Linked DNA regions of Schizosaccharomyces pombe. Changing the gene in region 1 together with any one later gene gives a genetic interaction. Each region holds a gene or a part of one and is shown in the gene's direction. Other genes may lie near its edges.

The links.
Region 2: of mes1 (region 1) and cuf2, changing one suppresses a phenotype caused by changing the other (phenotypic suppression), as found in Schizosaccharomyces pombe (one study listed by BioGRID).
Region 3: of mes1 (region 1) and spo5, changing one suppresses a phenotype caused by changing the other (phenotypic suppression), as found in Schizosaccharomyces pombe (one study listed by BioGRID).

The regions. Positions count from the first base shown.
Region 1 is NC_003424.3:1,496,779-1,500,622, forward strand, and holds mes1 (protein Mes1), read left to right. Parts: upstream 1-2,119; 5' UTR 2,120-2,406; coding exon 2,407-2,580; exon of another isoform or gene 2,581-2,655; coding exon 2,656-2,787; 3' UTR 2,788-3,306; downstream 3,307-3,844. Other genes in the region: mug86 (acetate transmembrane transporter), read left to right, coding at 369-1,283. UniProt on the Schizosaccharomyces pombe protein: Specifically required for meiosis II (MII). Binds to slp1, an activator of the anapahase promoting complex/cyclcosome (APC/C), and counteracts its function in promoting proteolysis of cdc13.
Region 2 is NC_003421.2:1,530,127-1,533,389, forward strand, and holds cuf2 (Cu metalloregulatory transcription factor Cuf2), read left to right. Parts: upstream 1-1,999; coding exon 2,000-2,031; exon of another isoform or gene 2,032-2,081; coding exon 2,082-2,174; exon of another isoform or gene 2,175-2,218; coding exon 2,219-2,627; downstream 2,628-3,263. Other genes in the region: SPOM_SPCC584.03C (GTPase regulator), read right to left, coding at 2,896-3,263.
Region 3 is NC_003423.3:2,534,437-2,538,871, forward strand, and holds spo5 (meiotic RNA-binding protein 1), read left to right. Parts: upstream 1-1,713; 5' UTR 1,714-1,784; coding exon 1,785-2,014; intron 2,015-2,062; coding exon 2,063-2,406; intron 2,407-2,461; coding exon 2,462-3,591; 3' UTR 3,592-3,818; downstream 3,819-4,435. Other genes in the region: ccr1 (NADPH-cytochrome p450 reductase), read left to right, coding at 1-1,063; histone H3-H4 chaperone, CAF assembly factor (CAF-1) complex subunit A Pcf1, read right to left, coding at 3,883-4,435. UniProt on the Schizosaccharomyces pombe protein: RNA-binding protein which plays a role in sporulation. Regulates the progression of meiosis I and may function in the vicinity of the Mei2 dot.

The DNA.
Region 1 (3,844 bases):
ATCTTCTTTTTTCATACACTATTTTTCGTCTGCAAATTTTTTTTTTTTGCATTCCTAAAATACCTGACATCACTCAAATAGGTTCAACGCTTCTCCTCGTATAAATTGCCTATTTCAACCCCCTTTACGAAAATAACTTTGTAGAAAAAATTTTTTTCTTAAAGCGCATTTTCAACTTATTTCTCCTTTTTTTTCCTACATAAAATCACTGCTTTTTCTCGTCAGTTTTTGTAGACATTGTTTTCCCACCTCAGCTCAGAAATCTGTCCCGTCCAAAGGTAGCACTACTAACTGTACTCCAATTTTTTTTTTTACTTTTTTTTATCTTTTATCCACCCAATCAAGTTACTGTCGTTCTTATTTCCGTCATGTCTAGTAATCCCTCTCGTTCAAATTCTCGCAGCAAAAATGGCGATTTGGAGTCCGGTTTGAAATTCGTCGATAACGATCATGACTCTAAAGATATTGAAGCTCGCAACCGCAATCACTTTTACGGTTTTCGTGCCGAACCCATCTATGACCAAACCGAGCGTTTAGCCAACCAAGTCGCTGAATTGCAAGAACAACAAAAAAGATTGTTTGGTCCGTCTGGTGCTGATTTCGAGCCTAATATTCATCGTCTTCGTTATATCAATTATGGTAATCCTGCCCCTTTCGGCCTCAGTGCGTTTGCTTTCACTACGTTTCTACTTTCCCTTTTCAATGTCAATGCTGGTCATGTCAAGGTTTCCAATATGGTTACTGCTCCCGCTGCTTTTTACGGTGGTTTAGCTCAACTTCTCGCTTCAATGTGGGAAATGGCTTCGGGAAATACGTTTGGTGGTGCTGTTTTTGGTAGCTATGGCTGCTTTTGGTTAAGTTATGCTTCTATTTTTATTCCCTGGTTTAACATTCAAAATTCTTATGACGATCCTAATGACTTTAATTATGCTATCGGTCTTTACTTGATATGTTGGTTTATCTTTACCTTTTTGGTTTTGCTATGTACAGTTCGCTCCACCCTAGCATTCTTTTCTCTCTTCATGTCTCTGGACGTTTGCTTTTTGCTATTGGCATGCGCATTTTTAAGAACTTCTGACGGCTCTCCTAACGTTGTTCTCATTCGAGTTGGTGGTGCATTTGGTATCTTCTCTGCTTGTGCAGCATGGTACAATGCTATGGCAGGTTTGGCTACTATAGAGAACTCCTTCTTCACTGTTCCTCGTGCCATCTTCCCATGGAGTTTGGAAGGACTGGGTCCTGAAGAGGCTAACCGCAGACGTATGATGGCTGATGACAAGTAAGAAAATGACCACTGTTATGGTCCTTTTTCTTCATTGTGTTTTTATTGTTTTCATTAAGTTATTTGTTTCTTCAAAAAAAGTTTAGGTGAAAACAACTAGGTTGCCCTCTCGTTACAAGATATCGATTTATCATCCCAAATGGTGATTTTTTGACTTTTGAAAAATGTTTTTCATATTAGTCTTTTACATTGTCAAACTTTTTCTGGACTACTCGAGTCAGGCCATCAAATTCGTACATCCTCACTCCCGTTTGTAAATGTCTTCTTTTCTTATGTTTTAACCGTATCCTTATCATCAATTTCTCCCCATACTCCCTTCTCTGTACATTTTCTCCTTTTACATTCATCATTACTGTTGTTGAGATACCTTCTCCCATTGTTCCCAAAAACAAATCATGTACGAAGGCTACTTTCATGCCATTACTATTCTCATGATAGTTTAATTAATGTTTAATTAATAATCCATAATTCTTTTATTTTTTATTTGTTTTTTTCAAATGTTACAAGGAAGAAAAGTAGAAGAAGTCTATTGTTGTATATTCGTCGTCCTTATCAATTTATCTGCAAAGCGAAAAGACTGAAGCTTTTCAATCATTTTCCGTTTAAACAATTTAATCCATTGTTTTGTATGCTTTGGATCTAACCAATCTAATGTAATGGTAAAGTTCAACAGTCTGAATGTACGATTTTGTATAATTAAATTAAAGACTTCACTCATAGATTATATAAACAAATAGAAATTTCAAAATTCTCAATTGTCAATGCATGTTTACTGAGTTGCCAATTCCAGTATATGTTTGCAAGTAGTTATTTCACTTCTACCTATTATATGACCCCATAACATTCCCCACTCCCACTACTGTAAACAAACGCCTCTGAGGTAAACATTCCGACTTTAGAAGAGGTATGATTACCAAAAGTTTGTTTACATCAACAAGTTTCTCACACTGAGGCACACTGTTCTGTAATTTCCGTATATCATATCTATATTTACTCCGACTTGCTTCTTTTCAAACATTGCATTACTTATTGGATACATATTAAGAATTATTACAAAATAATTAATATATATTTACAGTAAATATTTCCCCGGAAAACTCCCTGTTCTCCCTTTATTTGAAAACATGGTAAACACCGACAACAAGGAAAATGAGCCTCCAAACATGGAGAAGGCCCATATGGATTCGTCCAATGCTCTTTATAGAGTTCAACGCCCTCTACAACGTCGTCCTCTACAAGAATTAAGCATTGAATTGGTGAAACCTTCACAAACTATTACGGTCAAAAAGTCTAAGAAGGTTAGTGTATAGGAACTTGAGATATTTTGAACCAACTCGTTTTATTTAAAGTATTTACTAACATTTTATTTACAGTCGACTAATTCTTCCTCTTATTTTGCCCAATTGCATGCCGCATCCGGGCAAAACCCCCCACCAAGCGTGCACTCTTCTCATAAGCAACCGTCTAAAGCTCGTAGTCCCAATCCATTGCTTTCAATGCGCTAGAGGTTTTCGATCTTTTTTTTTCTTTGCGTTTCTCGTCCGTTCATCAAGTCTTCTTACTGAATGTAATACCTCTTAACTTCATTTGTACTCGAAACTTGTATATCCTATTTTTTCTATATTACACTTCTCAAATATTTTTACCCTTTTGCTTCAGAACAAGCTTTGCTACGTTCACTTGTTGACATTTCCTAAATGTCAGATTTTGGTGAATAAACTGATGAATTGAGCATGGTCCCATTCCTTGATTTTAGTCCTTTATGCTATTCTTGCTCCTTTTTCCCTGTGGCTTAAATTTATTTCCCTTCAATCATAATACTTATCTAACAATTTCGCATACATAGATTGCACTTTTATGGTATTTGCTTGCAACCTTATCGTTAGTTACATTGGATGGAAAGGTATTGTTTAAGCCATGTCTTTTAACATTTATATTATACTTAGGAAAAGGGCTCTATATTGTTTATATCGCTTTTAATATTATTGCTTCAAAATCGATAACTGCTGTTCTTGTTTGTAGCGGCATCTAAGAATAAGTAATCACATGTTTAAAACCATTGAATAGCTGGAGCGCAGCTCCAAACAAGGTATTAACCAAGAAAAATTTTAGAAAAGTGAGTCTCTCCCTCTCTAGGAAAGTGATTATTACGTCTATTGCTTTTGCTTTAAACATTTTTTATAAATCTTCAAGCTAGAATTTATGATATAATAGCATTACAAACGATTTCTGTTACTCAGCTTTTCTATAGAAACCCAAAAAATATACATTTCAAAAGAGTTCTAGTAAAAGATTACAGCTTTTTAAAAGTTAAATGTCCCATTCCTAAAAAATGTTACAATTCCCTCATGTTTTTCTCTTCTTTTAACGTACAAAATCAACTTTCTTAGTTCCCTAGATCGTGTAGTCTACGTGTTTGTTAATAAAAATAGCGATGCAACATATGGTAGAATTCATCTAATGATTCTTAAATAACTTTATGATACTACCGTAGTGAGGTAATCTAAACATATATTACTGTACTCAAGCTTATTTTGTTAGCTTATAGTTGGTTAACAGTAG
Region 2 (3,263 bases), on another chromosome or scaffold:
ACTGTAATTAAAGAATTGTTTGATGTCAGCAATACTACACTACGCTATAATACACTACGTTGCGTATCACTATATGTCACATGTTCTAATTATATATAGTACCATGTATGATACGATATTGAGATTGATCTTAATGATAATCTATCAAGATCTATATTATCTGAATAATATAAATAGAGCTACTGCTGAACCTCGTTCCTCAGTTCAGTTATAAGCTATATTAGTGATAGGTAACATTATAACTCAGTTAATACAATACCTATACTCAGTTGCTACTTATACAACCTGTGTATTGTAATATAATAGATCACAAGGAAAACTCACCGCAGTTCTACGTATCCTTAAATCAGATACCAAACTGCGTAGCTTACATTTGAAGGGATTTAACAACATAATGGAATGTAGTTGACAGATGTGACGTTGTATATCTTTGAACAGGTATACAGAGATTTACGGATACCCAGACGATAAATAACGACCGTTGGGGTTAGCAGTTTTATTCTCATCAAATTAAGAAAATGTGTGTGCAAGGTAGTTATTGTTTTTATAAGGTTTTCTAAATTTCAATACTTTTAGTAGTCTCATCTTGTAGCAATCTGATCAGAAAGACATTATCATCTTTCGCATTCTGAAAAACATGAAATAGAATGTCAAGTGAATTTGAGTAAAGAACCGCACGTATTGATGTGTTCGATTTCAGCAACGTACTTGATTTTAGAAGCTCCATTATATGATTTTAGTTTAGCTAGTTAGTTTTATCTCCAGAAAATTGACAGGTATTCAATATTTACTGATTTATTCATAGTGCGCTAAATGCATCTAAGTACTGTGCTGTAATTATGTTCATTATACCCAGTATATCAGCATCTAGCAGCAAATATACATTTATGTAAATACATTTACATTTCAAATAGTAGCATCTCCAAATCGTCACAAATTGTAGAATTTACATATCTTTTTTTAAAATACTGAACGTTCCTTAATTTGATGAAATCACTTCGTCTACATTTCTATTATGTGACAATATTTGTAGGTAGCAAATATTCAAATTGATTAAAAGATTTTTTGAAATCGAAAAAAATTGTGAGTTTAATCATACCTTTCTGAAAGAAATATTTCAATTTTTTTTAAAAAAATTTGAAGGGTCTGACAAGCCTACCTCATTTTACATTTACTTTCATTTAATTATTTTTTTAAACCTGACATTAAAACAAAGTAACTCGATATAACCCTGAAAAATAATAATCAATTAAAATAAATGAGCAATCAATAAAAAAGTTATTATGTCTTTAGGTTGCAAACTTTTAAGCTGTTTTGTAATCTGAAAATCATATATGTTATAATATAAAGTAGTATATTAACAAAATCCAGTCTTTATAGCATCTGGTACCTTTTGCAAACAAAAGTTATTTAACAAGTTTAGAGTGCAGAAAATCGCAAAACTGCTTAGAGAATTGACGCAATCATAAAAACATAGAATGAAATCGCCTCGAGGAAAAATCACAATTTGATCAGTTTGCACACTCATTAAATCAAAATTATCTTTTCTACGAAATTGTGCTCAAAAACATTGAACATAGTGATTTAATACCTTCCTATTTTGTATGTTATTGTTGGTTAGTGTCAATAAGTTGATGTATTTGTTTATCCCATAATATGTAAACAAATGTCCATAGCTAGAGCTTATAAATAATTTATGCCAGCACTCAAACTTTTGACAAACAACAAACATTGGAAATATTTAAAAGTAAAGTATATTATTTTAAAACACTTAGCTGTTCGTCTTGTCTTCTATTAATATCCGTTGTGCAATTCTTCTGGATCAGAAAGCTAAAGCAGAGACGAGGAAAAAGGAATTTGGGAAAAAGCTGTCATTTACAATTTATCAACCTAAAGGAAGAGAACGTATAAGAGGAATTTATTTAAAACGTTCCTCGACTAGCTTATTTACTCGAATCCTACTTGTCTTCTTTTCCCTTAATCACAAATACCTTCAATCATGATCATTATTGACGGTAAGAATTATGCTTGGTAAGACTTTTTGTATGGTTATAAGATAAAATTTTTAACACTTACTCTAGTGTTGTATGCCTTCGAGGTCATCGAGGCTCATCCTGCCAGCATCAAGAAAGGGCACTGATAGAAGTTCGAACTAGAGGAAGGCCGTTACTATGGTATGTCACATTGATCAGAAAAAAAATATTAACTTGAAATTCAGCAAAAAATGCAGAGCCATAAAACAACAACTTAAGAGTAATTTAAAATGCGTTTGTCATTTGCAGCCTTTTCTACCCTTCGCCAATGAGTATCAGGAGTTATTAAATTTCACTCAGAAAAACCCAATATTGGCTAGCCTTTTTTTGTTTTCAACCGACAAAGATATTATGAATTCTTCTTTAAATCCTGCAAGTCAAGCCTACACCTTCGATTTAGGAAGAACACTACCCATCAGTGAAGATATATTAGGATATAGGAAACCTCTTTCACTAACAGATGCTTCTAATCGCATTGATGCAAGTCAATTGAATGAAAAAGAAAACGATTCTTTTACCATAAACCAAGAGGCCGATATTTTCAATTTCGCAAAGTACTTACATTCCAAAGACGATATATCCGGAATCCCTTGAATTCACAACTTTCGTTATTATTCCAAATAGCGACAAATGAAGGTTATTGTCATATCATATGTATAAGTACTCTCACATAAAGTATTCAATCATAAAAAGATGAAGTAATTTGAATGTTTTGGTCGTCTAAAAAGGTGCATATAACATTAGAGAAATCTATGTATTCAAATTTACTGGGGATCAAACACCATTTCAAGGATTTCCCATGGGAAGTGAAATTTAGAATAGTTGTGTATTGAATAGCGTCAATATTACTCTGATAAAGTTTTCACGGGTTTTTCTTTTCTTTTTCCACATTTAATTTAGCCTGGCAGTTGATAACTTTCGACGATGATTCAGGCTCGGAATGAGGAATAACAGAAGGGTTTTCTTTTAATTTAATCACAGAATCCTTTGAAATGAGGTCCTCCTGAGGAAGTAAATTGGACTTCCGGACAGAAGGGCTAGCCATCAATAAAGCTGAATCCTCTTCATCAACATTTTTCGTTTGACGTGTTGAAACTTCAGGGGTAACAAGAGGTATGTTTTTAATATTCCATGGTGACAGAAACGTTGGTGTCGCAAAAATTCCAGAATGTCTGGAGGAGGATACTGAACCTGGACTGGCGCTTAGTTCACTTCGATTTTCTAAGGCAT
Region 3 (4,435 bases), on another chromosome or scaffold:
CGGTCTCAAAGAGAAGAGGGATACTGTAATAATTGTTAAACCTATCGATACTCTCGATAAGGCTCCTGTTTTAAGTCCTACTACCTATGACACTGTTTTTCGCTACTACTATGAAATATGTGGTATCGTCTCCAGGCAACTGCTTTCTTTTATTGCTCCTTTCGCTCCTACACCAGAATCTAAGCAAGAACTCGAGAAATTAGGCAACGATTATGACTACTTTAAGAAGAACGTTGTAGACTTGCACCTAAACCTTGCTCAAGTCCTTCGTCGTGTTTCTCCTGACGCTCCATTTACAAAACTTCCATTCTCAATGCTATTGGAAAATATGGCACACATGAAACCGCGTTACTATTCGATTTCCTCGAGCAGTGTAGTGCATCCTGACAAAGTTCACGTTACAGCGGTAGTTGACAAGAAAGAATGGACTGATAAGAATCATATCTTTTATGGACTAACTACTAATTATTTGTTGGCACATTGTCGTCATATGCACGGTGAAAAAATTCCACATCCAAATGGTTTGGAATATACCCTTGAGGGTCCTCGTAAAAACTGGACCGGAAAAATTCCGATGTTTGTAAAGAAATCTACTTTTCGATTGGCTCCTCCCGATGTCCCCATAATAATGGTAGGCCCGGGTACTGGTGTAGCCCCATTCCGCGGTTTTGTGATGGAACGGGCTAATTTAGCTTCTAAAGGAGTTAAAGTAGCAAAAACACTTTTATTTTATGGTTGCCAATATTCTGACAAGGATTTTTTATATAAGGAAGAATGGCAACAATACAAAGATGTCTTGAAAGACTCTTTTGAACTGATTACCGCATTTTCCCGTGAGCAAGATCATAAAATCTATGTTCAGCACCGTCTTTTAGAGCACAGTGATACCATTGCTAAACTTGTAGAAGAAGGGGCTGCTTTTTATATCTGCGGTGATGCTGATCATATGGCTAAAGATGTTGTGAATGCATTGGCTTCTATTCTGACCACTGTTGATGTTGACGGTATGAAAGCCGTTAAAGCTCTTCGAGATGACAATAGATTTTTTGAAGATACCTGGTAAGTTTGGAATTTATCCAGACTTTGCGATTACTTCAAGACTTAATGATGCCTTTTCATCTTAGAAATAGTTTAATACAATCATTATTCCACTCGGTATTTTTATCTATAGAAAACATAGTTTTTGTAGCAACTAACGAACAGTACTCTGTAACGTTATAATATCAAAAATAAACTGCCAACTTGAATTTCTTACTGCTCAAAAATGTCTACCGAAAATGCGAATCTACACAAAGTGCTGTGTTTGTCATGATTGAAAAACCTAAACCGACTTAAAGCTGGGTAACAAAGTAAACACTGGCAGTCGACTTCATTGCACTTCAATAATTAAGGCGATTGCGAATGTTTGATCAATTTACATACAATAGAAAGTATTTGATAATTCTTTTTTTGCTTTAAAAATACACGCATCAAGTTAGAGTACAGGATGCTATAAGTTAAATCCTCGGTCAATGTGTACTTGTCAACGCAAAACATTGAGTAATATGCGGAAAAGTTAAGTTTCCAAAAGTACAAGCATAATTAATACATGTATCCTAACTGTATAATAAAACTGAGCCTTTAAGTGTATTTTTTTTCTACGTTATCAAATCTAATGCAACACAATGCTATCCTTGATTTGTTTATTAACAGATTTCGCGCGCTCAAAAACTTACCTTTAACATATATTCAAACATTAAAGTATACATAATTTAAAAATTATTTACTTAAAGCATATAAGAGCGATGAATGGAATAATTACGCCTCAAAAACAAAAACAATTAATGTCTTCTCCTTCTCGTGATCCATTATCCACTACCGAATTGTCTACTCCAACAAGTCAAACAACTGTGGATGTCAATGACACGAAAAAAAGTGAAGGATTGGACTCTACAATTATACTATTAACACCAGGAACAAGCCCAAACGCAACGCCTGGTTCTAGCGAGTTAGGGCTTTCCAAGAAGCCAAACAGGTAAAGGGCTATTACAGATGTGTAATGTAATACTAACTAGGAATATAGTATAAAAAACAATACTTATTCTACAGCAGCACAGGCCGCGTATTTAAATAGGCGTGCTGCTGATCAATCAACCGTTATGACAACCGATCCTATTTCATATGCAAATAACAATATTAATAATGGAACACTGCCACAACAAAACGCCTACTATGCCAACTCTTATTATCCGTCATACTATGCACAGTCACAAGCCATTTCCAACAATCGACCGGGTGTCTCTGGATTCCGTCCTGCATTCAATTCTGTAGCTCCTTGCTATGGTTCACAATGGCAGACTCATCAGTCTGTTCACCCTTATCATGTTAACAATACTCATCAGTATTTAAAACCATATGTTCAGAATGGTATGATACACAGCTTATGAAAAAACTAATACTTACCAAACTTTTCGTCTTTTAGTATATCCTCAAATGCCCTCTTTAAATCAGCCGGGACTTCATATTGTCAATCAACCAACATATCTCGCGCCAGTTCCTTCAGCGACTGTGCCTACGAATTCAGTTTCTCTCTCGATGCCTTCTTTTTCCCAAGGGCAAAAAAATATTCCCGCTGCCATTAATCAAGAAATGAGTGTCGGTACAACAAAGGAGAATACAAATTACCTTTCTCAACTGGTTGGATTGCATCCTGCAATTCCTCCTGCCATTCCCAGCATGTTTCCCATGTCTCATGATAATAAAAAAAGTAACATGGAAAGCACTTCTCGTACTCGGAATGTTTACATTCGTGGTTTACCTCCCAACACTTCGGATGAAAATTTGTTGCTTTACACCAATCGTTTTGGTAAAGTTAGTAGCAGCAAAGCAATAATTGATATGGAAACGAATTTATGTAAAGGATATGGGTTTGCATGCTTTGAAGAAGAGAAATCTGCATTGATTTGCATTTCAGCCATGACTTTATGTGGATATCAGTGTTCATTTGCAAAAGAAAGTTTCAGTGCACGTCTTCAAAGTCTACAAGACACAGAAAGCACCAATCTGTATATTTCTAATCTTCCTCTTCATTGGAATGAAAGTGATATTTCCACATTGTTTAAACCCAGCAAAATCATATCAAACCGCGTACTTCGTGACTCTAAGGAACAATCTCGAGGTGTTGGGTTTGCTCGTATGCAAGATCGTAAAACGGCTGAAGACATAATTAATAAATTTAATAACTTTGTCTTGGATCCTGCTTTACCCCCATTACAAATCCGTTTTGCTGATTCCACTGATCAGAAGAAGTTTAAAGGTCAGACTCAGAAAAGAAGATTATGGCGTGCTCGTGAATACAGTGTTTTAACTAAGGGAATGACAGCTAATAATGCTTTTTCCAAAGTTGAGGAGTTCGCAAATAACTCTATGCCCTCTAAAGTTGGAATGTATGTGCCATTGGAGTCGAACACAGTCTATCAACATTCACCCACTTATGATACTTACGGTTGGCAAAGTATGTATCCCTCTTATTCCGTTTATCCCTCAAACTATGAAAACAGCAGAAGTACTACGCCATATCATGCCCATCCCGCTACTTCTGCTGCTAATTAAATTTAAACATCTTTCCAGCATTTACTTGAACATCAAACTCTAATATCGAAATCTTTTCAAACACTTATCACATACTCAAACTTAAACCAACATAAAACCTGTTAGACAAAGCTTACAATTAAGGGCCAAAGCTTTCTTTCTATGTTTTTTCTTTTATTTATTATCAGGTTATATAACAAAGGTCAAACCACTACAGTATTAATGAATGATATTATACATATTTGCTTAATCGTATAAAAAGAGAGAGGTATAAATAGTCCTTGAGTGTTCAAGATAATTGCACACTGTGAATTAAGAGGATAAAAGGGATGCAAAATTCTCCTTGATTATCCAACCATCAGATACTGATTTTCCTTTACGCACAGCGACTTTTCCAAGAGTTTCGCTGATAATATTTTTGGTTACGTAAGGAAACATGTGCCTCAAATTCTCGATCAGGAATACTTTGTTGTCATGAGAGTTACGGACATATTCTATAAATTTGGGTATATCTTCAGAAGGAAACCTTACTTGTAAATCATCAGAAAGTGAACTGGTAGGTCCAATTGTCATTCCACTAGACGCTGGAGCAGTATCTTGAGAAGCCCATAAATCCTCTTTAGGATCAATTTGGAGATATGTAGATGCTGAAAATGAACTAATGGGTTCAATTAAAGATAAGCAATTAAAGTCAGGAAGAAACTTTGAATCCCAAACCGGACCTTCTACGATTACCTCTAATGGGCCGGAGGAACGATGGGTATTAGAAGCATTGACACTATCCTTGTCATCATCCTCATCATCCACAAAAGCATTATCACCATCCTCTACAATATCATCGGAATTATCTACCTCTTCATCTTCA